Linked DNA regions of Oryctolagus cuniculus. The protein of the gene in region 5 purifies or fractionates together with the protein of the main gene of each other region. This does not show direct contact. Links are inferred from orthologs where the notes say so. Each region holds a gene or a part of one and is shown on either strand. Other genes may lie near its edges.

What was found.
Region 1: the proteins of VDAC1 (region 5) and BCAP31 purify together in Homo sapiens (affinity purification with western blotting; 3 studies listed by BioGRID, with this or other methods). This does not show direct contact. The link is inferred for Oryctolagus cuniculus from reciprocal best matches to the Homo sapiens genes VDAC1 and BCAP31.
Region 2: the proteins of VDAC1 (region 5) and ATP1A1 fractionate together in Homo sapiens (co-fractionation; 3 studies listed by BioGRID, with this or other methods). This does not show direct contact. The link is inferred for Oryctolagus cuniculus from reciprocal best matches to the Homo sapiens genes VDAC1 and ATP1A1.
Region 3: the proteins of VDAC1 (region 5) and RAB2A purify together in Homo sapiens (affinity purification with mass spectrometry; 3 studies listed by BioGRID and IntAct, with this or other methods). This does not show direct contact. The link is inferred for Oryctolagus cuniculus from reciprocal best matches to the Homo sapiens genes VDAC1 and RAB2A.
Region 4: the proteins of VDAC1 (region 5) and UQCRC2 fractionate together in Homo sapiens (co-fractionation; 3 studies listed by BioGRID, with this or other methods). This does not show direct contact. The link is inferred for Oryctolagus cuniculus from reciprocal best matches to the Homo sapiens genes VDAC1 and UQCRC2.
Region 6: the proteins of VDAC1 (region 5) and BSG purify together in Homo sapiens (affinity purification with mass spectrometry; 3 studies listed by BioGRID, with this or other methods). This does not show direct contact. The link is inferred for Oryctolagus cuniculus from reciprocal best matches to the Homo sapiens genes VDAC1 and BSG.
Region 7: the proteins of VDAC1 (region 5) and ATP5F1C fractionate together in Homo sapiens (co-fractionation; 3 studies listed by BioGRID, with this or other methods). This does not show direct contact. The link is inferred for Oryctolagus cuniculus from reciprocal best matches to the Homo sapiens genes VDAC1 and ATP5F1C.

What each region holds. Positions count from the first base shown.
Region 1 is NC_091453.1:132,057,056-132,060,555, reverse strand, and holds part of BCAP31 (B-cell receptor-associated protein 31), read left to right. Parts: intron 1-587; exon of another isoform or gene 588-772; intron 773-2,242; coding exon 2,243-2,378; intron 2,379-3,203; coding exon 3,204-3,327; intron 3,328-3,500. UniProt on the Homo sapiens protein: Functions as a chaperone protein. Is one of the most abundant endoplasmic reticulum (ER) proteins.
Region 2 is NC_091438.1:54,059,565-54,063,064, forward strand, and holds part of ATP1A1 (sodium/potassium-transporting ATPase subunit alpha-1), read right to left. Parts: intron 1,861-3,500; coding exon 1,657-1,860; intron 859-1,656; coding exon 745-858; intron 493-744; coding exon 358-492; intron 270-357; coding exon 152-269; intron 1-151. UniProt on the Homo sapiens protein: This is the catalytic component of the active enzyme, which catalyzes the hydrolysis of ATP coupled with the exchange of sodium and potassium ions across the plasma membrane.
Region 3 is NC_091437.1:85,951,610-85,955,109, reverse strand, and holds part of RAB2A (ras-related protein Rab-2A), read right to left. Parts: intron 2,753-3,500; coding exon 2,670-2,752; intron 2,276-2,669; coding exon 2,183-2,275; intron 1-2,182.
Region 4 is NC_091450.1:17,381,507-17,385,473, forward strand, and holds the start of UQCRC2 (cytochrome b-c1 complex subunit 2, mitochondrial), read right to left. Parts: upstream 2,801-3,967; 5' UTR 2,666-2,800; coding exon 2,633-2,665; intron 1-2,632. UniProt on the Homo sapiens protein: Component of the ubiquinol-cytochrome c oxidoreductase, a multisubunit transmembrane complex that is part of the mitochondrial electron transport chain which drives oxidative phosphorylation.
Region 5 is NC_091437.1:22,341,559-22,345,759, reverse strand, and holds the start of VDAC1 (non-selective voltage-gated ion channel VDAC1), read left to right. Parts: upstream 1-1,401; coding exon 1,402-1,468; intron 1,469-2,246; coding exon 2,247-2,296; intron 2,297-3,135; coding exon 3,136-3,288; intron 3,289-3,382; coding exon 3,383-3,435; intron 3,436-4,201. UniProt on the Homo sapiens protein: Non-selective voltage-gated ion channel that mediates the transport of anions and cations through the mitochondrion outer membrane and plasma membrane.
Region 6 is NC_091447.1:58,340,801-58,344,825, forward strand, and holds the start of BSG (basigin precursor), read left to right. Parts: upstream 1-1,225; 5' UTR 1,226-1,238; coding exon 1,239-1,305; intron 1,306-3,114; coding exon of another isoform or gene 3,115-3,462; intron 3,463-3,994; coding exon 3,995-4,025.
Region 7 is NC_091444.1:75,491,032-75,494,531, forward strand, and holds part of ATP5F1C (ATP synthase subunit gamma, mitochondrial), read right to left. Parts: intron 3,122-3,500; coding exon 2,917-3,121; intron 1,908-2,916; coding exon 1,764-1,907; intron 1,658-1,763; coding exon 1,593-1,657; intron 656-1,592; coding exon 500-655; intron 1-499.

The DNA.
Region 1 (3,500 bases), on a different chromosome or scaffold from region 5:
GGATGTGGTTTCCAGAATTGTCCTTGGGTGTGTTGGCACAGCTCCAGCATGGAGGATGTAGAGGAGAACTGTTAGGACTGGCGTGCGGATGCATTTCCTGGGAAGGTAACCAGGGTGCTCTGGGGGACCCTAACAGCTGACAGCCACCAGCAGAAGACTGGGTCTGGGGCTGAGCAGGGGCCAGCAGTTTGAGCACACATTGCACAGGTCTATGCCCAGTTCCGTGCGTGTGTGCGGGACTCTCGGAAACCTTGGTTCTCAATAGCTGGGAGAAGCCGGGCTGACTGAGGAGAGCCGGGCCCCTGCTGCGCTGCCGCTGGCACTGCTGGCACCACTGCCACCACTGCCTTGTTTGTGTTAGCCATCTCCCTGGGCCGGCCTCCCTGGTAACCATTCACCACTGGCCCAGCCTGCTGGGGTAGGGATGTAACCCTGGGTCTTGCCCGCCCCATGGTGGCCCGTCCCTGCAGTGTCCACAGGCCCCATGTTTACCGCCAGGCGGCACACGTGCCCCCACCCCCATTTCCAGCCTCTTCCTCAGCATCCCACGAGCTCTGAGTGGGGGGTTGGGGCTTAGTCACACTTGCCTTTCTTTCTAAGCCTCTCCAGTGACTTCCGGCCATGCCGATGTGAGTCAGGCACACTGCTTCTCGCCGACTTCTGAGGTGCTTGGTAGCTCCCTCCACCTTCACAGCTCCAGCCCAGTGGGGGGCAGGCTGGTGGGCAGCCGGGGGCTGAGGCAGGGAAACCTGAGCCCTAGGCCACGAGGTCCTGGTCGCTAATTTTAGAGAGCACATGTCACTGGAAACTCTCCTCTCCTGCCAGGAATCAGCAGCCTGGTTCTCCCAGTGCCGCCAGGGGCCCCTGGGAGCCTTTCCCCACACCAGGAACCGCAGGGGCGGCTCCTGCCTTGCGGGCTGCCCTGGCCTGAGTGTGCATTCCTGAAAGGGCTCTGCCAGGGCCCTGGAGAAGCCTGGCGGGGGCCAGGAAGGTGGCTTACCTGCTCAGCCGCCCCGTGCTGCTCACTGGGAGCAGGCTGCAGGTGGAGGTGAGCAGAGCCTGCCAAGGCCTGGCGAGGGCCAGGAGAAAAAAGGTTGGGAGCAGCCGCCAAGGCTGCTGGTCTCTTGAGCCAGAACTCTGTGCTTGAAGTGCCCTGGGAAAGCAGATTTTTCTTTTTTACCTTGGGCCGTTGCACATACTCTGCCTTCCCTCTGTTGTGGGATCGGGCCCCTTCTCAAGGTATGTGGGGGGTAGGCAGCCACACTCCAACTCCTAGCCCCCATCTTCAGTGTTTGAGACCTTTCTTGATGACTGCCGAGGCATGCGTCCCTCCTCTCTTCTGCCAGCTGACATCCCATCCCACAGGTGGACTTGAGGGAAGTGCTTGGGGCCCAGCTTCTGCCACCTGTTTGCCACTGGGCTGCCTCCAACAGGCAGTGGGCACCTGTGTCCTGATTCTTCGCCTGCCCCGCTAGCCCAAGCAGACCTCAATTTGGGCACTCTTATGTAACAGATGTGTCCTGGCAGCTGCCTGTGTGACGGGTTTGAGAAGGGGGTTGGGGAGAAGTGAAACCTTTCGGTTTTGTCGGGACCTGGGGGCTGTGACCTGCTAGTTTGTAAGGAAGCATGGTGGCTCGGAGCTCAGGCTTTGGATCACAGAGACACAAGTTGGAAGTCCAGCTTTGTCCATGTCTGGCTTCTCACCCTGGACAAATTGTTTCACATTGCTCAGCCTCAGTTTCCTCTTTTGTAAGATGGGGCCTGCGATAGTAAGTGCCTTGTAAGATAGGATTTGGCCTGGCATGTGAGGGGTACCCAAATTTATTAGCTGCTCTCGGTATTTGACAGATGCTAGCCTGGCCTCACAGTGAGGAAAAGGGTGCTGAGGCTTCCATAGTACTGAACTGGAGAGTGCTGGAGTCCTGGGATCTCCTGCTGTAGCTAGGCCCTGCCCTGGGTGTCCCTTGGCTCCTGCTTCCAACCCCCCCTCCACCCCTTAGCCGCCTCACAGAGCCAAGGGTGGCTGTTTTGGAGCAGTGGCAGCAGACAGCTCCCAGGCCCCACCCTTCCCCTTCGTGTTGCCAGAGCCAGGTTGGCGGCTTCTCGCTCGGCTGCTGGCAATTCAAGAGGGCAGGTCCAGGCTGGAGGCAGGCTGGGGTAGGGAGCATCCAAGAGAAGTGCCTGCCAGCTATTTTGCTCTTTCTTTTTCTCACTTCTCCCTTTTTTTTGTAAATAATTGCAGCCTGCTTAGACGCCTGGTGACTCTCATCTCCCAGCAGGCCACTCTGCTGGCCTCCAATGAAGCCTTTAAAAAGCAGGCAGAGAGCGCCAGTGAGGCGGCCAAGAAGTACATGGAAGAGAACGACCAGCTAAAGAAGGTGAGCCCTGCCTTCCTGCCCGCTGTGGGGTGCCCGGGCAGCCATGTTATTTTGGGGCCGCAGTGGCCCTTGTCGGCCTGGGAAACCGGGGAGCAGCTGGAGAGGTGGGTGGAGGCGTAGAGTGGAGGTTCTCGGTGGGGACAGTGTGCCCACTGGAGGTGCGTGTGAAGAAGGATCCGGGGTTACTCTCACACCCTCCTCTAGCTCACCAAGGCCTGCTGGAGAGGGTGCAGGAGCCACTCCCCTCAGGCCCTCGTTCTTTGGAAGGTTGCTGCGCTCTCGGGTATCCCTCAGTGCTGGGAAGGAGGCAGGGACAGGCTGCTGGCCTATCGTAGAACCAAGCTTGGAAGGAGGGGCACAGGTTTGCTTTCATGGGTTGGGTGGAAGCAGATGAGCAAGGGTGAACGTAGGGCCCCTGGCTGCAGGGAGCTGCCCGGGCCTGGGAGAGGAAGGAGGGAAGCAGTGAGTCGCTAGTGAATGACTTGCAGAAATCTCCCAGGACGGCACGTGGAGGATTGGTACAGCGGTGCACTCCACAGGGCTGCTGGCCCTGCTGGTGAGGAAGAAGGCAGGCACGCGGCCAGCTCAGGCAGGGCGTATGGCCTGTGAGCAGCAGCAGGTGGCCCCACTGGCTTTTCCTTTCCCTCGGCGGGCAACTACACCCTGGCCTTTGCCTGGTAGCTGAGAGCAAGCCATGGCCCAGGTCTGCGTTGACATTTCTGAAGGGACAAGTGCCCAGGGCAGCTGGAGGAACTGGGGCTCGGGGGGTGGGGCAGGCTGGAGCCTCTCCCTCCCCAGTAACCCAGCCCTTGGCGTTTTTCCCAGGGAGCTGCTGTTGACAGACGCAAGTTGGACGTTGGGGACACTGAGGTGAAGCTGGAGGAAGAGAACAGGAGCCTAAAGGCTAACCTGAAGAAGCTGAAGGACGACCTGGCCAGTGCCAAGCAGAGTGAGGCTTGTTCTCGTGTGTCCGCCATCCCCAGAAGACTACAGCCTTCGTGCCCAGTGTCTTAACACCCGCACAAGCTGAGAGCTGGCTGCAAACACCCAGATGGTACCCCGCACCTCCAAGACCAGCACAGCCTAGCTCAGGCCCCGGCCAGGAGGGCCTGAGTGGTTTGA
Region 2 (3,500 bases), on a different chromosome or scaffold from region 5:
AAAGCAGCCACGAGGCTTCCCAGGTCTCCCTGCCGCAGGTGAACCCCCTCTGCCCTGCACTTGCTGGGGCTGTCAGGAAAGGAGCCAGAGGAGGTTTCAAGATGCTACTGATGCCCAGGGTGACCACCAGGCCACACCGGACACACAGTACCTTCAACGCAGTTGGTGGAAAAGAAGGCGATGTTCCTCGTCTCCAGCGGGTTTTCATTTGTAAAATCCGGAGACCTGGTCTGGGGTTCTGATTCACCAGTGAGTGAGGAGTTATCCACCTAGAGGAGAGAAAAACAGGTGCTGTGCGAATCCCGCGGCCTCACCACAGGCTGCTGCGTGCCTCTACCGCACCCATCCCAGGGCTACCTTGCAGCCGTTCGCCGATATGATTCTGAGGTCAGCAGGGATGCGGTCTCCCCCCTTCACTTCCACCAGGTCCCCGACCACCACATCCTCCGCATTTATGCTCATCTTCTCACCATTTCGAATCACCAGGGCTTGCTTTGGAAGGCAAATAAAATAATGTTTACAATGTTAGATCAGAAAAAAAAAAAAAAGACATCAACAAGGAGAGGATGGTGCCCTAACAAGAAAGCCATCCAGTGACAAATGATCTGTAACACCAATCATCTGAATTACAAACTTGATCCACACACGTTCCAGGAGGTGGCTCAAGCTCTCAGTGTGCTAACGGCACGGCACACTGGCTGACCCCTGGGGCCACCCCGTGGGGGCAGGACAAACTCCAGGTACCTGAGGGACCATGTTTTTGAAGGACTCCATGATCTTTGAGCTTTTCGCTTCCTGATAGTAGGAGAAGCAGCCAGTGATGATCACGACCGCGGCCAGCACCACGCCAAGGTACAGCTGCGAGAGAAGACGCAAAGTTCAGGCTGGCCGGCTCGGGAAGAACTGGGAACATCCAGTGAATTTTTGACTGAATCAAAGCAGACTTTTAAGGAGCGATGAAGTCATCAGAAGCCATCTTCACGGGGATCTTTCTAGGGCCCTTGTTGTGTGTGTGTGTGTGTGTGTGCGGGGGGGTCAGAAATGGACTCAATCCCCCAGACATTTGGCCACTAAACTTGGTAAGACTTTTTCTTTTTTTTTAGGGCTATGTAGGTATTTATAATATTGCTCTCTGGCCACACAAAATGGTCAACTTAAAAACTATGGACTTATCGAGTTTCAAGTCCCACCTACAGCTGCCTTGGCAAGGCCAGACAACTGACTGCCCGGTCTTCAGATGGCCTGTGGGCTGTATGTCCCCAGCCCCTGCACTAGATGAATCCACTTCCCCTACTCAATTAAAAAGACATTTTCCAAACAATTTGCAACTGTCTGAAGAAAGGCTACCAAGCCCATCAGGTCTGACATTGCATGCTGTGTTCTGCCCTCCCTGGTGGGGCAGCCAGCCCTGGGCCAGGGGCTGGGCAAAGCCACCTGGGCACGTCTGGCCTGCAGGTGCACCCACGGTGTGTGCAGGGCAGACAGACCTGCAGTGCAGAAGGAGGGCTGGGCCTGGAAGCCACCTGCTGCACAGTGCTTGCCAGTGTTAAAAACCCCGAAGTAGCTAGTGGTGAAGGAAAGTTAAGTGGACAGCAAACGGCCAAGAGGATGCCCTAGGGGTGCTGACTAAGCCCCGCGTGGAACTGAGGAACTCACATTATCATTGTCAAAATCCTCTTCTGTAGCAGCTAGGATGCCGTAAGCCAGGAAGCAGAGAATCGCTCCGATCCACAGCAGCATGGAGAAGCCCCCGAACAGCTGCCGACAGAACTTCACCCATTCAGGAGTGGTGGGAGGGGGAGTGAGGGCGTTGGGGCCGTCTCGGGCCAGGATCTCAGCAGCTCGAGCAGTTGTCAAGCCCTGAGAAGCAGAGGGGACGTAAATTAGACAGTGTGCACCAGCACACGCCAGTGGTGCCCTCGCTGGACAGCTAGGACACCCGACTCGGGGGAGAACAATTTCCCAACCCAGAGTGCTGGGCAACACCCGGCCTGTGATGCTGACACCCACATCAAAACTCTTCCTGAATTCATCCGCAGACAAATTTGAATCCAGCCGCGTATACCCACCCCCCTGCCCCCAGGTTTCAGATCAGGGGATTCGTGCCAAATTGCATTTTTAATCAACAACAAAAGCCTATTAACCGATTGAGATTGATTTCAGTTTTGTAAATGAAGAGCTTTGCATTTCCTGTGCATTGATTTTTGTCAGGGAGGTTGGGAAAAACCCTCTACAGACATGAGAAGAGAAAAAAGTTCCGTAGGAATCCAACCTCCCATTGGGCCAGCAGCCAAGTTTTAAGTATAGGACCTTATTCTTTGGGTAGCAATTAAAACACTGGTGAGCAGGAAAGGGTTGGTACCCACGCCAATGTTAGCCAACCCCCGGTTCACCTGTCAACTGCAAAGTGTCTGTGGGAAAAATCCCTCTCTGCTGAAACCCTGCTGTTTCCTAACAGACCCTAAAACCCAGGCTCACGACAGCAACAGATTTGGCTCCTGCAAAGAGGGGGAAATATGATTCTTTCTGTACTACCCAAGTACCAAATAATAAATAAAAATATATTTTTGCCTAAAAGTGCTTACATATATATTTTGTGATTGTGTTCTTTTTAATACTGGAGCTGGCCAGGGAGTGTGGGGAGAGCAGAAATGAAGGTGGGGAGGCCAGTCAGAAAGGAGAGAATTCTCTCAGCTCCCCCTCTGCCTCCAGCTCAGCCCTCAGCAGAGTTAACAGAACCGTAACAGACCCAGACATGACCATGTGCCAGGTGCGGAACCCAATGCTGTCCCTCCGTCAACCTGCTTCTTCCATGACACCCCTCTCCCGGTATTACCAGCCCCATTTTACAAGTATGGAAACAGCCAAGCAGCTGACCCGAGTCTCTGGGCATGCACCTCCCAAGCCCCTCCGTGAGATGACGCACGTGCCGTGCCGAGAGCTCACCAGGAACGGTGGGCGGAGCAGCTCCCAGCGCACGGTTCTAGGGGTGCCGAAGCCTCCCCTCGGAGCCCAGGGTACCCAAGCCGGCACTCCGCCCCACCGCCTCCTGAACAATGGCTGCTTACTAGCTTGGCATCCTCACCATTCCTCAGACTCTTCTTAGTGACCATCTAAAAATAAACGCCACCCCCTAGACGACTCACTTTTATAGTGTTTGTAGCAAGCTCGCTATCAAAATCCCCCAGCACATATCTGACTGAAAGGTTCTGTACCCAAGCTTCAAGTCACTGATGGGACCGCCAAGGTTCTGACACAGTGCAGTGAGCTAGCTGGGAAAAGTTCAAAATTGGAACTGCCGACTCAGCACAACACAGGAGGAAAAACAAAGGGGAGATCTGCGACCAGGAGGTCGGGGGATGAGCACGGCTTCACTGAAGCCAACTGCAGAACCTGCTGCTCCCACTTAACTGGTTCTCACCTACCGGGAAGCAGGAAAAACAACCTCTCTCAGAAAGGCTCGGGAAAACAAGATAGGAGCATGCGAGCGCCCAAGCCCT
Region 3 (3,500 bases), about 64 Mb from region 5:
AATTTTTTTTTTTTTTTTTTTTTTTGACAGGCAGAGTGGACAGTGAGAGAGACAAAGAGAAAGGTCTTGCTTTGCCGTTGGTTCACCCTCCAATGGCTGACGCGGCCGGCGCACTGCGGCCAGCGCACCGCGCTGATCCGATGGCAGGAGCCAGGTGCTTCTCCTGGTCTCCCATGGGGTGCAGGACCCAAGTACTTTGGCTATCCTCCACTGCACTTCCCTGGCCACAGCAGAGAGCTGGCCTGGAAGAGGGGCAACCGGGACAGAATCAGGCGCCCCGACCAGGACTAGAACCCGGTGTGCCGGCGCTGCAAGGCGGAGGATTAGCCTAGTGAGCCACAGCGCCGGCCTCGGTATAAATCTTAAAATCAGTTTATCTACTCTCCACCAAAGTCTGTGGTATTTTGATTGGGATTACATTGAACTTTTAGAGAAATTTGGGAAGAAATGACATCTTAATGATTTTAATTTTCTGATCTAGGAACATGGCATATGTCTCTATTTACTTAGTTCACAATACTCTCTTATCCTTTTCATACCTGAAGATTCTTTAGGTCACTTCTCATTTCTAATACTGGTCATGTGTGTCTTTTTTTTTTTTTTAATTTATTTATTTGAAAGCCCAAGATACACAGAGAGAGAAGGAGAGGCGGGGAGAGAGAGGTCTTCCATCCACTGGTTCCCTCCCCAGTTGGCCGCAACGGCTGGAAATGCGCCAATCCAAAGCCAGGAGCCAGGAGCCAGGAGCTTCTTCCCGGTCTCCCACATGGGTGCAGGGGGTCAAGGACTTGGGCCATCTTCTACTGCTTTCCCAGGCCATAGCAGAGAGCTAGATTGGAAGTGGAGTAGCTGAGACTTGAACCAGCACCCATATGGGATGCTGACACTGCAGGCGGCGGCTTTACCTGATACTCCACAGTGCTGGTTCCATGTGTGTCTTTTTTCTTCATGGGTATCTATTTTTCTTCTCAAGAACTAGTTTTTGTTTGTTTATTTTTTTAAAGATTTATTTTTCACTTGAGAGTCAAGAGTTACACAGAGAGAGGAGAGGCAGAAAGAGAGAGAGAGGTCTTCCATCTGATGGTTCACTCCCCAATTGGCCACAAAGGCTGGAACTGTGCCGATCCAAAGCCAGGAGCCAGGAGCTTCTTCTGGGTCTCCCTCGTGGGTGCAGGGGCCCAAGGACTTGGGACACCTTCTACTGCTATCCCAGGCCATAGCCAAGAGCTGGATCAGAAGTGGAGCAGCTGGGACTAGAACTGGAGCCCATATGGGATGCCGGCACTTCAGGCCAGGGCGTTAACCTGCTGCGCCACAGCGCTGGCACCAAGAACTAGTTTTTCAGTTTCACTGCTTTTTCTTTATTATGTCTTCTTTTTGCTTATGTTGGGTTTAATTTGCTGTTATCTTTCTTAAAGTAAAAGCTTAGGTTGTTGGTTTGAAAATTGAAGTATTTAGTATTCTAATGTCTCTCTAAGCACTACTTAACTATATCCCTAACACTTTCAAAGATGTAGAGATAGATTCTAACTTGTGGAAAACAGATAATAATGTAAATAATTCCTATCTAAGAAATGCGGACTGTGACTCACAGAATACAGTATGAATATACCCTATGAATATTGACCAGTCTTACATCCACCTCTAAATTAACTTCAGCATTTGCTATTTGATTATGAATGTGTGGCAGTTTGAGTTCTCTTTTGAACTAATTGTAGATAGTATATACTGGTTTTTCATTAATTAATGAGATAAACAAAAGTTCTGATATGCTCATCATTATATGAGTCATGATTTTATTTTTCTAAAACTTATCTTTAAATAGTATCTATTCTAGAAGTGAATGAATTCTCTGACTGACATTTAGGAAATACTAATTTCTGCAACCACTATAATTTTCTACTAAAGTTAGTGAAAAATTTTCGATAGTTTTGAAAGTTCACAGAAACTTTGGCCAAGCAATTATGTTTTCCATGGTACCTTCAAATAAAACTGTGACGAATAATAGTTTTCAACAAAGCTTATTATTTATATTATAAAAACCAAAAGAAATATCTAACATTTTTCAAAATTTTATAATTTAAGAATACATGTGGAGAAATGTACAAGAAAGGTAGTCACATAAATAGAAGCAATCAAGTCTTTATCATTAATACAACAAGGTCTAATTTAGCCTTTTTACCTTTTATTTCCAATAAGCATAATGACCATGTTGGAATTGGAATGCTGGCGGGCATCTTCTAACCATGTTGTCAAGTGGTTGAATGTATCTCTCCTAAACAAAAGATTAACAATTACTTTTTTGGAAATACTTCCAGTAGTACACAGTTAATAGGATACATTCCATTCAAGTAATCATTTTTTGCTTTATCCACTTATATAATGAAAAGCACATTTCAAGCACACTACCTGGGTTTAGAGTTCTACTGATTACATTCAGTTCAATGGAGCCATACTTTAAAAATTTCCAATCCATAAATGTTACCAAATTGATCAATATGGAGGTTGCTTATTGAAATCCAAAAAAAGAATTGCAGATTTCTATAGTAAATTTAAATTTGATTCAGGATACAGAGTTTTAAAAACAAGTAGCCAAGGCAATATAAAGACAGAGCTACACTTTTATTACTGGTAACCATATTTATTTAGAAAAATTTTCAAGCTCTCACCTTGTAATATCATACACTAGTAAAGCCCCTGCTGCACCTCTGTAATATGACCTTGTGATGGAACGAAAGGACTCTTGACCTGCCTGTGAAGAAAAAAAAAAAAAAAACAAAACAAAAAAACAAAAAAAACAAGTTGAGAGCTTCCTTTCACACACTGTCCTCTATATTTTCAGATTTTTCATCTATAGAATATGGGAGGTAGGGAAGGAGTCCATAAAGGGACAGGGGAAAACTTAAGTTCAGCAGTCACATAATACCACTATTGCTCAAGTCAACCAGAAGCACATGCTGCTGCTCACTCCTGCAACACTCCCCCACCCCACCCCTTGCCAACCAAGACCCCTAACCCTTTTTGGCAATCCCTGACAACCCAATTTACTGAATGGCTTCACAATACATGAATCATTATTAGAGCACAGAATGGACTCCTAGCAACTAAGCTCTGAAGACAAATTTGAAAGGAAGCAAATAACCCAGAGCCTTACATTTGAATTCAATAACCCACTCCCTGGGGCAGCTGTTGACACTAGAATAAATAAAGCCCATTGTAAATAAATGATGAATGACATCTTTACGCCCACCATCTGCTGGTGTAAAGGTTGTTGGAAGGCCAAGGATGCAGATTTTATCAGTTATATCATAAACTGCAGCAAGCTTTCAACAGTCATCAGATGGAATTCTTTGAGCAATCATTTTATTATGAAAAACAGAAAATGGTTCTGAATTTAATTTATATAATTTTTTTCCATACAATCAATTTTCTCTGTATTTGATATATAATGCTTGTCAAAAGGCCACAGAATGTGAAAGTCATCTTTATATCCACTTGTG
Region 4 (3,967 bases), on a different chromosome or scaffold from region 5:
GTTCTAGTGCTTTAGAATTTTCTGAAAAAGCACCGAGTTGCCATACTGATGCCCTTTTTTAGATTTTAGCATCAGTGCTTCCCCTAATTACTCAACACGTCTCACTTTTTTAGTGTTATTTTCCAATCGAAATGAGTTCATTTCTGTAATCATTTTACCAACCTTTAAAAAACAACAAAGTATACCAACTTCTTGTGAGCCCCTCATATTTCCATTCTACCTTTATTCTGTTATGTACTATGCTGAGACTCACAACCAAGGGTCTTAACTTTCTTTGACTAAATGTTTATACCATTCTGAGATTAGCAATCAGTCACTCCACCACTGCAGAGTCTCGGTATAAACATGCATTTACTGGCAGGGAGAAAGGATCTTCTTAAATGTCAGACAATTGATCTAAAATGCATTCACTTCATTTAGTTTTTGTTGGCAAATGATAGGCAGTGGCATAAAGCTCACTCTGGTTACGACTTCTGTTCATGAGTTACTAGTGGAGATGCTGGGTAAATAAACATGGAGCTGCTGTCACCTGTGGCGCTCCCTGGACCTCCCCCCCCCCCCCACCCCAACATTAATTCCACAGTGAAAAGCAGACCTATATGAAAGAGGTGCATTTAGAAGACACCACCAGATTCTGGCTAAAAGAACAGAAAATGAAAAAACACCTTTTAGCTATCAAAATCCCAGGCAAGACCAGAGAAGGGGCTTCAAGAGCTCCTTCCCCGAGCTCTTTCAAAAGATAACACAACCCGTGAAGATTTCTGTGGGCCTTGGGGCTGGTGGTGCCCATTTTCCATTTCCAGCACCACTGGTTCAGGTTACAGGGAGAAAAACCAATCCAAAGCCTCAATGGATCCTTTACCCCTGGCACAAGAATTCCTCAGAAACCAACTTATTCCTGCAAATGGGGCCTTGACCACAGCACAGCGGTGTAAAACACCCTGAAAGCTGTAAGCTGCAGATAAAAAGCTTGTAACTGTCTGCGTAGAAATAGCTGAAACTGAACATACAAGACCGGGAAGAGATTTATAGCAGTCTATTGTTAAGGCCTGGCTTTTTGAAGCTCAAAACCTGGGAAATCTTCTTCTCATAATTATAGCAAAACACACACACAATTGGAGGAAAACCAATGTTAGAACAACAAAAAAGTCAAAATACAAAAAAGCTTGGTGCTCCCAAGATCCAACCATAAGGGTGCTGGAGTTTCTAACCGACCCCCAGCAGAGGCTGCAAGGCCTCCCTGTGCTGTTCACATTGGCCGTCAGTGCTGTATTAAGCTGGCTGCTGGTTTATTATTGGCTGTCAGTATTGCTGAATTCTACATTACAATTAGCTTTGCCTTGACATCATCCACTTTCTTGCTGGATATGGTAGAGTTAAGCCTAGTTGTGACTGGCCTGTGATTTTCCAAAAAGTAAATTTTATGATACATGGAGAGAGCAGTTCCATTGCCAACTTAGATCTGGTTATGAACCTATCTGTCCCCTTCAAATCTGCAACGAATTATCCTAGAAACTGGCATGCAATTGCTGTTTTAATAAAATATGTAAATATCATATATAAATATAAGTTTATATACATATAAACTTACTGATACAAAATTAACTGCTATAATTAGAAATAAAGAACGGCTTTCACATTCACTGTAGTTTGTTTACTTTGACTTCTCTAACTGTAATCTTTGAGGTTTTCTTTCTAGTGGAAAACGGAAGGAAGGAGGCGATTTTGCCCCCGACCCGCAATTTACCTGGCTGCCCTCAAAGCGTTATCAATCATTGGTTTGTCTAGGCACGCCAGGAAGGGTGATACAGTTACAGCCTAAATTGTACAATCCACAGTACATCCGCTTAACCCACAGGGGACCCATCGCCACGTTAGGTCTTTTATATCTTCTAACGGGCTTTTCAATCCAGGTGCTCCTGGCATTCTGGCTGCATGACCCTGTTGTAGGAGCTGTTTCTGTGCATCTCAGGAAGTGCAGCAGCACCCCCCTTGGCTTCTTAGATGCCAGAGGCAGCCTCTCCACAGGCTGTTAACACCAAAGTGTCTCCAGACATTTTTGTTACCAAGAGCGAAAATCGTCCCCCTCTGAAATCTGAAGAATGCTCGATCGGTAAAGTCTATGCAAATATTCCCCCAATTCGAAAAACTCTGGTCCCAAGCATTTCGGATATGAGATATTCCACTTGCACCTGCAATGAGCTCATCTATTACACGTTTATGCGTAAGCCCACTGCACAGTTATAAGCCAAGGAGCAGAGGCCGCAGCAGATAAAGGGTGGGTGACAGGTCTCAAGGACCTCTCCGCCTCCCCCGGCCCCGGGTCTGGCAGTCTCCTCGGGCACCCAAGTGCAGGAGTGACCTTCAGACGTCTCGTCGCCGCGTCGCTGCATCTCCGCCCTCGACCCCTCCTCCCTCTCTTTTGGCTTTCTGGCGTAAGGTCTCTTCTGCTCACAGAACAACCTGGGCCTCCAACGCCCGAGCCGGCCTGAAGCTAGCGGGCTCGCAGGGTTCAGATGAAGGGCAGATTGGATCCCAAGGCAAGGCGCCCAAGGGCAGGCACCTCGGCTTCCGATCCACCTGTGGATACACCGCTCCCCAGCCCTTCTCCAAACCGGCAGGCTGAGCTCACCGAAAAGGACCCGGCTCTGGTTAATAGCTTCATGGCTCGAGATTGCTTTCACCCGCGGTCACTGCCGGCTTAAAGGAAAGCAAGATGGTGGTGGAGGACAGGAGTATCCCAGCCTTCCCCGCGAACACGTTCCCACGCCCCTTGCTGGGCGAGGGGGACTCTCTATACAGACTGCACTCGACTGCTCCCGGAGAAGGTTGGGCCAGTCCAGTTCCTCCGGGACGGAGGATAAAGAGATGCATAGTTGCGAAGGTAACTACACAAATGATTTAGGTTAAGGTTTTTTTTGTTTGATTCATTTACCTACTCGAATATCTACTCTGTAATTGTTTGCTAACAATGTTTACAATAGCCCATCATCACCACACCCCTGGCACTTTGGATTCGTCCGATGTGGATCGTCCAATGAAACAGCGGCTTGCCTGGAAGTCTACGCTCAGGGCACCCGGACTTCCGGTTTCCTGGAAATAGGTGTTTGAGGAGTTCCTCCGTAGCGCTTCTTTCTCTAGGGATCCTGGGCGTTACAGCCGGGCGTGATTGCTTCTCGCTTGGTGAAGGCCTCACGAGATCAGCAAATCCGTGAGAGCAGAGGCCTGGCCCGGCTGTACCCCCCAGAACGGGCCAGGGACACCCGTCGGTGAGTCCGCACCCCAAAGGGCTGTGCGGCCGTGGGATTTACATGGAAGGCTGGGGTTATATAGAAAATAAGAGCTATGTAGTGTTCGTGTGAAGGAAAGAAAAGTGTTTTCTTTGAATAGTAGGCGTGTGTGTCAGGCGCGAGCAGAAAGCCGCGTGCTGAGACAGGCATGCTGGGACGACCGAGGGGAGCTCGCCCTTCCGTGGGTGTGAGTTTAGCCAAGGAGGTTCTTGCTGCCAGGCCCTGTGCTCAAGGTCGAGGCCCGGTCCCTGCCCTTCGGGGACGTGCAGGGTCCTCCCATCCTCCGTCACCGGGCTGGGAACCCAAATTTGTCAGCATGGGTATCCTTGGGGAGTTCGTTAGAAATGCAGACTCCAGGCCCCATATTGGATCCGAATCTGTTTTTACAAGATTTCCCTGGGGTGACAGGGACGCGTTTAAGGTTTCACAAGTGCCAGTGAGGTAGAGGTTACAAGGCATAGATAAATTTATGTCTTTCTTGCCTTCTGTCAGAAATGTCCGCGCTCGAAACTGCCTCTGGCTGGCCTGCAGTAGGCCAAGAGACGCTCGTGAAGAATCCGGTGCCAACCCAATTTCTTTCTTTTTCTTCCTTTGTTAAAGGTTTAGCTATTGGGCCGGCGCCGTAGGGCAGTGGGTTAAAGCCGCCACCTGCAGTGCTGGCATTCCCCTACGGGCAC
Region 5 (4,201 bases):
GTGGTTTGTTGTACAGCAGACCCGGTGCCCTGTGGGCTCCCTGCAATGTCTCTGAAGTGAAGGCCTGGGTCACAGCTTCCGGTTGTGATAGTGACGCCTGGGTCATCTGAGCTCTTTACAGTGGGATCCTGGTCACCAGTGACTGCAGTGTGTTTATGCATGCATACTTGGGCGTATGACATCCACTGTGGTCATTTCAGCATACTGTATTTTAAAAATGAATGGAACTGTCCTTTGGGTTCATTGAGAGGAATGATTCTGGAGATGGAAAAGGGTGACAAGTGGCACTGTTCTCATGAATAACTCTCTCCCTCTGGACAGAGCACACAGGTCGTTCTTCAGGATTGGGATTTTAATTCTGTGTGCACAGTCTCAGAATATTGCCTTCTAGGGGTTCTGTGTGGACAAGGACTATTTGAATCATTGCTTTTTATTTTTTTTTTTTTTAAACTTATTTATTTGAAAGGCAGAGTGACGGGGGAGGGAAAGACAGGGACAGAAACAGAGAGAGAAAGATCTTCCATCTGCTGTTTGAATTCCCAGTCACAGCTGGGCTATGCTAGAGCCAGGAGCTTGGAACTCCATCCAGGTCTCCCATGTGAGTGACAGGAACCTGAGTACTTGAGCCATCATCTGCTGCCTCCCAGGCTCATTAACGGGAATTAGATTAGAAGTGGAGGTGGGACTGGCTCTCGGACACTCCTTCATGGGATGTGGGCATCCACAGGGGCACGTAGCCACTGCCGCACAGTGGGTCAAGTGCCCATCTTGCTATCCCTCAGCACCAATTGAAGTTACATTTCCTGGAGGGTGCGGCTGGATTTCTGTCCACGAGGCATGGCCTGCTTGGTGAGGAATGCGGCTCCCTTCCTGTGGGCTCCCCTCAAGGGCAGAAGCTGTGTGAGAAGTTGGGTTTGTCTGGCACCTGTGTCTGTTGAGCTGTAGAATCAGAACCATGCAGAAGACTTGCAGCCATGAAAGGCTCTATTTCTCCTCCACACCTTTAATGTCCTAGCGGCCCCCATCCTTAATGATCGGTTTTATTGGCAAGAGCTCTGCAGTTCAGCCGAGAAGCTGACTCATGGGAGTGCGTCTGTGGCAGGTAATTCATTCAGCAAATATTTACGGGCTCCTACTGTGCCCTGGGCCTGCCTCAGTCCTGGAGAAGCCCAGCAGAGGTGGCCGAACCTCCGTCAGCAGGGGCTTACTGGGGCCTCAAGCCCTAGCTGCAAACAGAGGTACAAGACAGTGCATACTGCTGCTTGTACCTGGGAGCGTGAGGCACCCGGAATGTCTTTTTTAATTGGCTGTTAATTGTAGCTAATAATTTTTATTGATTGTAAACTAATTTCCATAATTACCAGCATATTTATTCTGGCGGTTCTTTTATTGCAGTAGAAGATGGCTGTACCTCCCACGTATGCCGATCTTGGCAAATCTGCCAGGGATGTCTTCACCAAGGGCTACGGTGAGTGGAGCTGGGAGAGGGCCGTCTTCAGCTCACAGGCTGGGTAGGCATGTTTGCAGTTTTACCCATAACAGTTTGGGAGACCCCTGTCGGTCAGCTGTTGGGCGCTTTTTTTTTTTTTTTTTAAGAAGATTTATTTATTTGAAAGTCAGAGTTACACAGAGAAGGAGAGGCAGAGAGAGAGAGAGAGAGAGAGAGAGACAGAAGTCTTCCAACCACTGGTTCACTCCCTAGTTGGCTACAACAGCTGGAGCTGCACCAGCGGAAGCCATGAGCTTCCTCCATGTCTCCCATGGAGGTGCAGGACCCCAAGGATTTGGGTCACCTTCTGCTGTTTTCCCAGGCCATAGCAGAGAGCTGGATTGGAAGTGGAGCAGCCAGGACTTGAACCAGTGCCCATATGGGATGCTGGCATTGCAGGTGCCGGCCTCTTGGGCACTTCTGTGCCAGGGAGGGAGATGAGCTCTGCTGGTTGTGCCCCTGTCGGGGCAGGCCTATGGTTTGCTGCTGATGAGTGGACCCTAGTGTCTTCCCTTCCACAGGTGCAGCAGCTCTGTGGGTACAGATTCTAAATTTAGCCCACTGTGTGCGTGAAGCCGATGGGTGTGTCTCTGCTGGCTGTGGGACACCTTCCTCTCAGCCCCACGGGGAGTGCAGGTGACGCCCACGTGGGGCCCAGGTGGGGTCAGCACCCAGAGTGTTTCGAAAGGGCAGAAGGGCGGAGATGCTGTTTTTGGTTTCATTGTTTCACCTGTTAACTGCAGTCTTCTTTCTGTAGGATTTGGCTTAATAAAGCTTGATTTGAAAACAAAGTCCGAGAATGGATTGGTAAGTTGTCTCACTCCCACAGAACATGTGTGCTTATTGTTAACCACTTAACTGCCCAGGTGTGCCTGGCAAGGCCAGAACAATGTGCTGTCTGAGATTGGGGAGGTTTGTGGTCATCACAGTCATGGGGTCCACACTGGGGGTCCCCAACTCAGCAGCTGGTAGCACTCAGAACATCACAGCAGACCTCATGTAGTTCCAGTTTTCCTTGGATTTCTTGTTATAAAATTGACTTGTGCCTAACTACATAATTATTAAGAAAACTCACTGGTCCCCTTTATTTATTTGATTATTTATTGTTTAAAGATTTATTTGAAAGGCAGAGTGACAGTGAGAGATCTTCCATCTGCTGGTTCACTCCCCAGATGGCTACAGCAGCTAGGCTGAAGCCAGGAGCCAGGACTCCATCTGGATCTCACTTGAGTGACTGGGGCACGAACACTTGGGCCATCTTCTGCTGCTTTCTCAGACACGTTAACAGGGAGCTGAATCAGAAGCAGAGCATTGTATAGGTGTCCGTATTGGCTGCTGGCTTTGCAGGGGACAGTCAACCTGCTGTGCCACAGCGCCAGCCCATGGTTCCCCTTAGGTTGTGCATGGAGTCACTGTTGGAAGGAAGGAGTTTTGGGCTTGAATTACTGCTCTGTCAGCCTTAGCCCGGTGCTGCTTCTCTGTCCTCGGCTGGAGGCGGGATGGAATGGGAGTGCCGAGTTACAGGGGAGGGAGGCAGCTGTTGCCCCCCACTGCCGGTATCTCGTTGTCGCGTGAAGGCAGTTCCAGTGGTTAGGGATGGAGTGGGTCCTGGGGTGCAGGCTGTGACTCATATCTCTTGTTTGTAGGAATTTACAAGCTCAGGCTCAGCCAACACTGAGACCACCAAAGTGACGGGCAGTCTGGAAACCAAGTACAGGTGGACTGAGTACGGGCTGACGTTTACGGAGAAATGGAACACCGACAACACGCTGGGCACCGAGATCACCGTGGAAGACCAGGTACTGCAGCCTGTGCCGAGATGTGGGTTCGTGAACGCACACCTGCTGGCCTGCCTTGTCACTAAACTCGCTGCTGGTTTTCTTTTCTGTTCAGCTTGCACGTGGACTGAAGCTGACCTTCGATTCCTCCTTCTCGCCTAACACTGGGTAAGAGTCTCTTATCTCCACAAGGACCTTCTGTGATGTTGCAGGCACTGGAAGCTGTTTGTGACAAAGGGTTTTGGGGATGGGCCTAACATCCTCTGTGACCTGTGAGTTTGAGTTCTGTGGTTTCGATATAGTCCCGGGACATACTCATGGCCATTCATGAATGGACTGTGCTCTGATGAGCACTGCTTGGTTCGGGAATGATGTTTCCTGGACAGACATGTTTTCCAGTTCCTCCTGCACTTGTTCCAGGCCCCTCTAGGGATCTGAGGGTATCCAGGCCTTGGGTGTTAAGCCACACCCCACCTTCCTGACCCACAGGGTCTTCCTTTCTTTGGCTCATCAGCCAGCAATATTTCGTAATCAAGATTCTGCCCTGTTTGTGTTTTCCTGGCCTCGGCCGTGGGGGCTGTAGGATTTCTGCTTGAGTAATGCTGTATTTTATGTGCTGAGGCTGCTGCTAATGTGAGTGGTTGAAGCTGAGGGATAACAGGTGATGTTTGGAAGCCAGGCTAACTGGTTCCTGTTCCCAGCCCCCTCTGTCAGGCTGGCTTCTTGCTCAGGGACCCTGAGACGGGGAAGGTCTGACCTGCACTTTTCTGCCCCAGGCCCTTGGCCACCAGCAGAGCAGGCTTGTTTGTTGTTACTGGGGCCTCAGTTCCTAGGTGCTTGTCTACGTGGCAGAAGGAGCCGTTCTTGTCCCCTGTACAAGCTTGCTTTTTCCTGCTCCAAGTGGTCGTCTACTGACCCTGGGGAAAATTATCCA
Region 6 (4,025 bases), on a different chromosome or scaffold from region 5:
CAAATAAATAAAATACAACTGAAACAGCAGAAAGCGAGCGCTTTCCGGGTGTACCTGCTGGCGGGGATGGGGGAACCCGTTCTCTTAGCCGAGGAAGAATCCTGAAGGCAGAGGCGTGGCCGGCCAGGCAGCAGCAGAAGGGGCAGGCAGCCCAGGGGAGGAACGGGTGGACCCGCGCCCGCCACCCACCCAGGGAAGCCAATGCCGTGCGGCTACACAGGGACCGCAGCTCATCTGCACCCAGACTGCGGACTGTGCGGCGCTCCTCCCTCCTCAGCCACAGGTGAGGGGTGCAGGAGTGACGAAGGAGGCATCCGCCCCAGGTGAGGGGTCCAAGAGTGATGGAGGAGGCACCCGCCCCAGGGGAGGGGTGCAGGAGTGATGGAGGGGGCATCCGCCCCAGGGGAGGGGTGCAGGAGTGATGGAGGAGGCATCCGCCCCAGGGGAGGGGTGCAGGAGTGACAGAGGGGGCACCCGCCCCAGGGGAGGGGTGCAGGAGTGATGGAGGAGGCATCCGCCCCAGGGGAGGGGTGCAGGAGTGACAGAGGGGGCACCCGCCCCAGGGGAGGGGTGTAGGAGTGACAGAGGGGGCATCCGCCCCAGGGGAGGGGTGCAGGAGTGACGGAGGGGGCACCCGCCCCAGGTTCCCCGGCTCAGCGCTGTCCCGCGGGGAGCCCACGCAACCCCGGGCACAGGACGGCCTCCTGTCCAGTACTGGGCCTGGGCGGGATCCCGCGGGGTAAAACTCGGGGCGCTTCCCCGACTCCTGGCCCTCCCCAGGCCGCGCTCGCACGCATGCGCCGACGCCTAACTTCCACCCCGACTCCACGGCACCTGGGCGCGCGCGCGGCCTGCGGCCCTCGTCTGGGTCGTGGGGGGTCCCAGCGCCGTCCCCAGCAGGGGTGCGGCAGGAACGTGCGCGTCTGAGCGCGCACCCTAGCCCCCGAGCCCTGCCCGGGGTCCCCGCTACGCCGCGCCGCCCCCGGGGTCCCGTGGCCCGCCCGGAGTCACGTGGCCCGCCCCGGCCTCCGCAGCCTCCGCCCGCCTGTCCGGCGCCCGCGTACGTGCGTGTGTGCGCGTGCGCGGAGCGCCCGTAGCCCCCACCACCACCACCGTGCGCGCCCCGCCCCCGGGGCACCGCCCTGCGTGCGCGCGCCCGGCACGCGCGCCCGGCCGGTCTTATAGGGGCCGTAGCCGGCAGCGGGCACGGCGCTCGGTGGACGGCGGACGGCGGGGACATGGCGGCTGTGCTGTTCGCGCTGCTGGCGCTCGCGCTGCTGCGCGCCGGGGGCGCCTCTGCGGCAGGTGGGCGCCGCTCGGGGGCTGCGGGCGGGGGCTACGAGCCGGGGCGGGGGGGCTACGAGCCGCCGCCGCCCCGGGGGTCCCGGCCCGGGCCCTCGTCGGGAGGGCGGCCACCCTGCAGAGCAGGGCCCCGGGTCTCGGGGGCCGCCGTCCCCCTCCACGGTGCACGCGGCCGGGGCTGACCCCCGCGTGGGACGCCGCTCGTGGCCCTCGGCTGCAGTCCGCGGCCGCTGCCCGGGCAGGCTGGGCCCCGGGATTATCATTCCTGCGGGGATTTGGCCGGCGGCGCGCCCGCGTTTGCGGGGTCTGCGCGGGCGTGCGGGCCCCCTCCTCCTCTGCCTGTTGGGGGTGGGTCTCCAAGGTCACCGCGAGGTCGCCCAGGCCGCTGGGGGGAGCCCCGCGTGGAGCCCCAGGGCCCGGCCGGGAGCTCCCGGGCCGCTGCTGACCCACTTCGGCGGCTTCCTCTTCCCGGTCCCCGGCCTCGACCGAGCGCGGGGGGCGCGAGGGAGCCCCAGGCGGCGCCGGGTTTCCTGCGGGGCCCCCGCGGAGCGCGCTCTGGCCCTGCCGGGCTTAGTCGACCGTACCCCGGGGCCGGGGGCCGTGCGGGATCTCAGCCCTGCGCGGAGCGGCGGTGTGCGTGGGCGCACGGTGCGTGGTGGGGTGTTGCTTCCGACTTGGCTCCCGGGCGCCTTATATGGGTGTTCGGGTCTTGCCCGTGCACGCTTCTGCTCTCTGTGCGGGGCCTGGCCGCGCTGGGTTGGCCACCTCCTGTCCCCCCGGGTCGGGGCCTGGCCAGCTCTGTTCTCCAGGCGCACAGCCGCGGGCCCCCGCGGGGGTTAGCCCAGGAGGGCCGCACTCTGGCCCGCCCCGAGCAAACGCTTAACCTCTGGCCTCCGGGGGAGGCTTGGCTGAGGGTGGGGCGGCAGAGGCGAGGCCCCCAGCGGGTGGGGCCCTTCCCTCCCGAGCGGCCCCGCCTTAGGCTGGGCTTGTTTACCGAGGCCGCGCCTGGCCCCCTGCCCGCCTGGCCGCTCTCTAGTGAAGGTGACTTGAACCTGAGTTGCAGATCACGTGGGCCGAGTGGAGCTGTGGCTTTTCTGAGACTGACCCTGGGGCTGGATGTGGCGTGGACTGGGGCGGCCAGGGGCCTCACCCCAGGGAGCTGGGCCACCAGTGTCCCCCTGACGTCCAGCTGCTCTTGTCGGAGGCTGCGTCTGTCCCTTGGGGAGCGCCAGGTGGTGCAGACCTGTGGAGGGGCGGCCGGTTCCCCACCTTGGACACCGGGGCTGGGACAGCTGCGGCCAGGCTAGTACGGCCTCTCCCGGTACCTGCAGGCGGCCGGGGTGTTCGGGGGGCACCTCGGCTTCACTTCCTGCCTGACTCAGCTCTGCCAGGGCTGTGGGATTTGCAGCTAGGGGTCCTTCTGCTGGAGGCCACCTGGGCTGGTCCAGCGGCCTCCAGGCGGGCCAGGGAGGCAGGTGCCTCGTCCCCAGGGCACCTGGGGCCGGAGCGTCAGGACCCAGGGGAGGGTGGACGGGAGCCCCTGCCCGCCCCTGTCCGCCTAGGCAGTGTCCAGGACCCTCTGTTGTGTTCAAATAAGGAAGCCGATGATGGCCCGGGTGTCCGTGCCAAGAGGGCCCTGCGCCCCTCACTGTCCCCACAGCTGCCTTGTTCGCAGAGCCCAGCGCCCGTCCCGTGACCTTAGGGGCTCAGCCCTAGCTGGACATGCGTGTGCTCCCCCTGCCCTGCCTTCCGTGGGGGCAGCCCGCTCCTGTTCTGCCGTGGGGGCCTCACGCTCTCGCCCTCTCCCCGTAGCTGGCTTTGTGCGGCCCCCACTGTCGCAGGAGGGGCGGGCGGGGGGCAGCGTGGAGCTGCACTGTGAGGCCGTGGGCCGCCCGGTCCCCGAGATCCAGTGGTGGTTTGAAGGGGACGGCCCCGGCGACGGCAGCTCCCAGCTCTGGGACGGCGCCCGGCAGGGCCGCGTGCACATCCACGCTGCCTACCGCGAGCACGCGGCCAGCACCGTGTCCATCGCCCAGCTCAGCGCCGAGGACGCGGGCACCTACGAGTGCCGGGCCAGCAACGACCCCGACCGCAACCACCTGACCCGGCCGCCCAGGGTCAAGTGGGTCCGTGCCCAGGCCAGCCTGGCGGTCCTGGAACGTGAGTGGCAGAGACCTGCCTCAGTGTCCCTCTTGTGCCATCGGCTCCCACCCAGTAGAGCCCAGGCCCTCTCCTGCCCGGTTCTGTCCCTCCCACCCACCTGAGCAGTCTCTGGCCTGGATGCGGGTGGGCCCCTCGCCCCCGTCCTGTCCGCCCATGCGTCCATCGCTCCGACCCGCTCCATCCGTGCTCCCTCCCTCCGTGGGCGCCTGTCTGGCTCTTGTCCTGGTCGGTGGGGCTGGGTCTGCTCCCTGGGTCAGCCCAGGTTCAAGGCTCTCCGGACCTCCCATGGGAACGTGCTCAGCTGACCGTGAGGCCGCTGTGTCGAGCCTGGGGTAGAGCGGGGCGGGGCGGGAGGTGTGGGCGTGCTGCAGGGCTGCTCCTAGCCTAGCCTAGCCGGGAGCTGATGCCTGGGCCACACCCCCGTGCACAAGGGCCCTCCGGAGGGCACCCTCTGAGCCAGGCCTCGGCGTGGCGGAGGGCCGACCCCTCCTCTCCTGCCCCTTGCTGACCTCTCGCCGTGGTCTCCCAGCGGGCACCGTGACGACTTCTGTGCAGAGCGG
Region 7 (3,500 bases), on a different chromosome or scaffold from region 5:
TCAAATATAAACAAAATAAATCTTCAATAAGAGATCCTATTTCTTTTTCTTTTTGGGTACCAAAGTTGGCCTTTTTTATTTATTTGAAAGGCATAGTTAGAGAGAGGGAAAAACAGAGAAAGAGACACTTCTATCTGCTGATTCACTCCCCAGGCAACAGCTGTGGCTGGGCCAAGCTGAAGCCAGGAGCTTCTTCAGGGTCTCTTCCATGTAGGTTTAGGGACTCAAGCACTTGGGTTGTCCTCCACTGCTTTCCCAGGCACATTAACAGGGAGCTGGATGGAAACTGGAGCATCTGGGACTCAAAATAGGATTCATATGGGATGCTGGTGCTGTAGGTGGAGGCTTTACCTGCAATGCCACAATGGTGGCCCCTCAAAAAAAAAAAAAATATTATGTTAACATTTTTAGTGTTACTCTGGGTAACAGACAGTTCAGCAGAGGATGCACTGTGCACACAAAAGCACTCTTGCTAGTCCTGCCTGGATCACGTGCTTACAAGCATTCTTGCTGGCGTTGTCCATGGCTGTCATTCTTGCACTCTGCTCACTGGTGGTAGACTCCTTCAGAGAGTAGTAGATGATGTTGGCCAGATTGTATTCTTGGTAATTTTGTAGCACATCAGCATCAACATCATCATAGATGCTCATGCTCTCTGTTAAAACAAGTGATAAATTTCTTTGAAGCCATACAGAACAAAAACTGATTTTTATCAAAACAGCTTGCTAGTGCCCAACCCTTTATAATAACCGAAAAAGAATCTATTTACATGATATAAATAGCATATTTTCAGCAAAATATAATGTACAAAGCATTTGATATATGAGCTCAGAGGCTTAACTTAAAAATAAGACCCTGACATTGAAAATAACAATGAATTTCACAGTTATGAAATCCAGTGCAGAGCATCTAGCAGTCCCCATCACAAGGCTAGCAAGCGCTCAATAAATGTTCAAAAAAATTAATGGAATGATTGAAAGCAGAATAGTGGAATTAAATAATTCTGATTTAGTCATTTGATTATTAGAGAAACATGAATGTGTCACTCTGGAAAGTGAGAAAGGAAGACATTTTTCTAAGCATATGAAAGTTTGTGAGAACTATAAGCTGTTATGAATTTTAGTTTTATTTAGGAGTACATTTCTAAATCCATTCATTAGGATAAAGTAATGCTATAGTATTGTATTTTATAAAATTTCAGATAGTACTATCATATCTTTTATTTTAGGTATTAAGAAAAAATAGCTAATTAAAAATGTTTCATTGGCTGAGCAAGGCATCCCAACTTCAAAAATTCTAAAATGTAAGGGTTTTGCCTTAGAAAAACAAAATTGGTTCTAGAATTTCTAGGGTGCTTCACTGGACAGTGATGACTTTACTCAAAAGATAAAATCAATGGGTTAACATTACGTTAGTTGTCAAGACTGTTCAAATATGTACACGATTTTGGTTGTATTATACTTGAGTCCCACACATAGATAAGTCAATTTAATCTTTGAAGACAGAAAACCCATCTAATGAGGACCCCAATAGATAAATATTTCCCTCTCAATTCTACATGCAAAAATACTTGTCATATAAAAAATACTTACCAGCACTTGCAATGGTATTAAGGGAAAAAATTGGCTTTTCTTCTGTCTTATAGGAGATTACAGACCTAGAAATGACAAAAGCATAAGTAAATCTCAAAATAACTTTTAAGCAGACATTTAGTTATTTTAAAATATGGACAAAAACATCTCTGATTTCTGTGTTTTTCTTACTTAAATCGATTAAAGATGATAGACCCTTCATCAAACTCATATCCAGAGTTTAATAATTCAAGAGCAATGACTGACGCATCTCCAAAAGTAGGGGGCTTTCTTCCAACTTCTTTGAATGTCACTAGAAACTGGTCAGAATGAGTCCTGTAGGAAAATCCAGAGATCACTTAAAATCATTTAAAAAAAACTCAGAGAACAAGTTAAAAACATTTTCATGCATCAAGTTTTCTTGGGGGGCAGAGATGTGGGTAGTGGTGCTGACTCCCTAAATTGTTCCACACATTATCAGGATTGTTCCCTTCCTTTGGCACCTGTAATTGCTCCTGGCTTTTGGCCCAAGCTGTTGCAGCCATTTGGGGAGTAAATCAGCAGATGGAAGACCTCTCTTTCCCTCTCTTTCTAGTTCTGACTTTCAAATAAATAAATAAATATGTCTTGAAAAAAAAAAAAAAAGATAAATTTGGGAGCAGATGTTCAGTCTTGAATTAAAGACTCCCATTTCTTACATGTGAGTACCTGGCTTTGATTCTTGTCTCTGGTTCCTGATTATAGCTTCCTGCCAATGTAGAACCCTGAGAAGCAGTGATGATACTCAAGTAATTGGGTTCCTGCCACACACATGGGAGACCTGGGCTGCATTATTCCCACCTGCTGGTCTCAGTCCCAGCCTACCCTTAGTGGCTGTGGGCATCTGGGTAGTAAACAAGTAGATGGGCATACTTTTTCTGTCTCCCTGATACTTACAAATAAATAAATAAAAATATGAGCTTGTTTGGGTGCAGAAATTCTTGAAACCTATAGTTTGACCATATTATACATTTTCCATGAACTTTTAGGACACCCCTCATATTTCTCTTCTTCCAATTCTGATGAACTACTGATTATTTCTAACATCTCCAGGCTGTGATAGCTTCTCATATTCCCTTTTTGGCTTAGTGCCAATAGCTTTTGCTAGTCCCATCATATTCAACTTACGGTTTTTATCAGAGAAGTAACATACAGTATACACATACAGTAAAAAATAAAAACAAAACAAAAAACTCTGGGAGTATACAAAACATGGTAACCAAAAAGGACACTTTGCTTAAACAAACTATTAAAGAACCTTCCATTTGTTCATACTTGTACCCCTTTGAACATAAAATGAAATTACCTATGAAGTATGCCCCTGATTTTGTCACCAACTCCAACCAGCATAACTTCTTTTCCAGCTGCTGTGAGTGCAGCCACCTCACTTTTCATCTGTTTGGCGACAGAGGAATGAATAGCACCACAAAGCCCTCGATCTGAGGACACACCAATAAGGAGGTGTTTCTTCTTGTCTTCAGGTGCCTTAATATCAGCTTTTTCATACAGAGCTTAACAAACACACACACACACAAAAAGCAAGAATTTGTAAAATGTACTTTACAAATAGCAACAACACTTAGTTGACATAAGATTTGCCTATTTTCAAAATACGCATTTAAATTTAGGTGACACATGAGTACAGTCAGAAGTGTCTGTACTTATTCATTGTACAACCAAAGCTGAAAAGCATAAACATTTAAATCTCTGTATAACAAAGGTTCCTAAGGGTCAATTATTAGCCAAGTTTATCTCAAATACTGAGTAAAATAAATCTCTACTACATTTAAATTACTTGTAAGAGGCCAGAAGCATAGAGATTCCCACTTATATTGATATCAGACCTCTAAAGAATGCAAACAAAAAATGTAGGTAGGCAAGTAGGCAAGT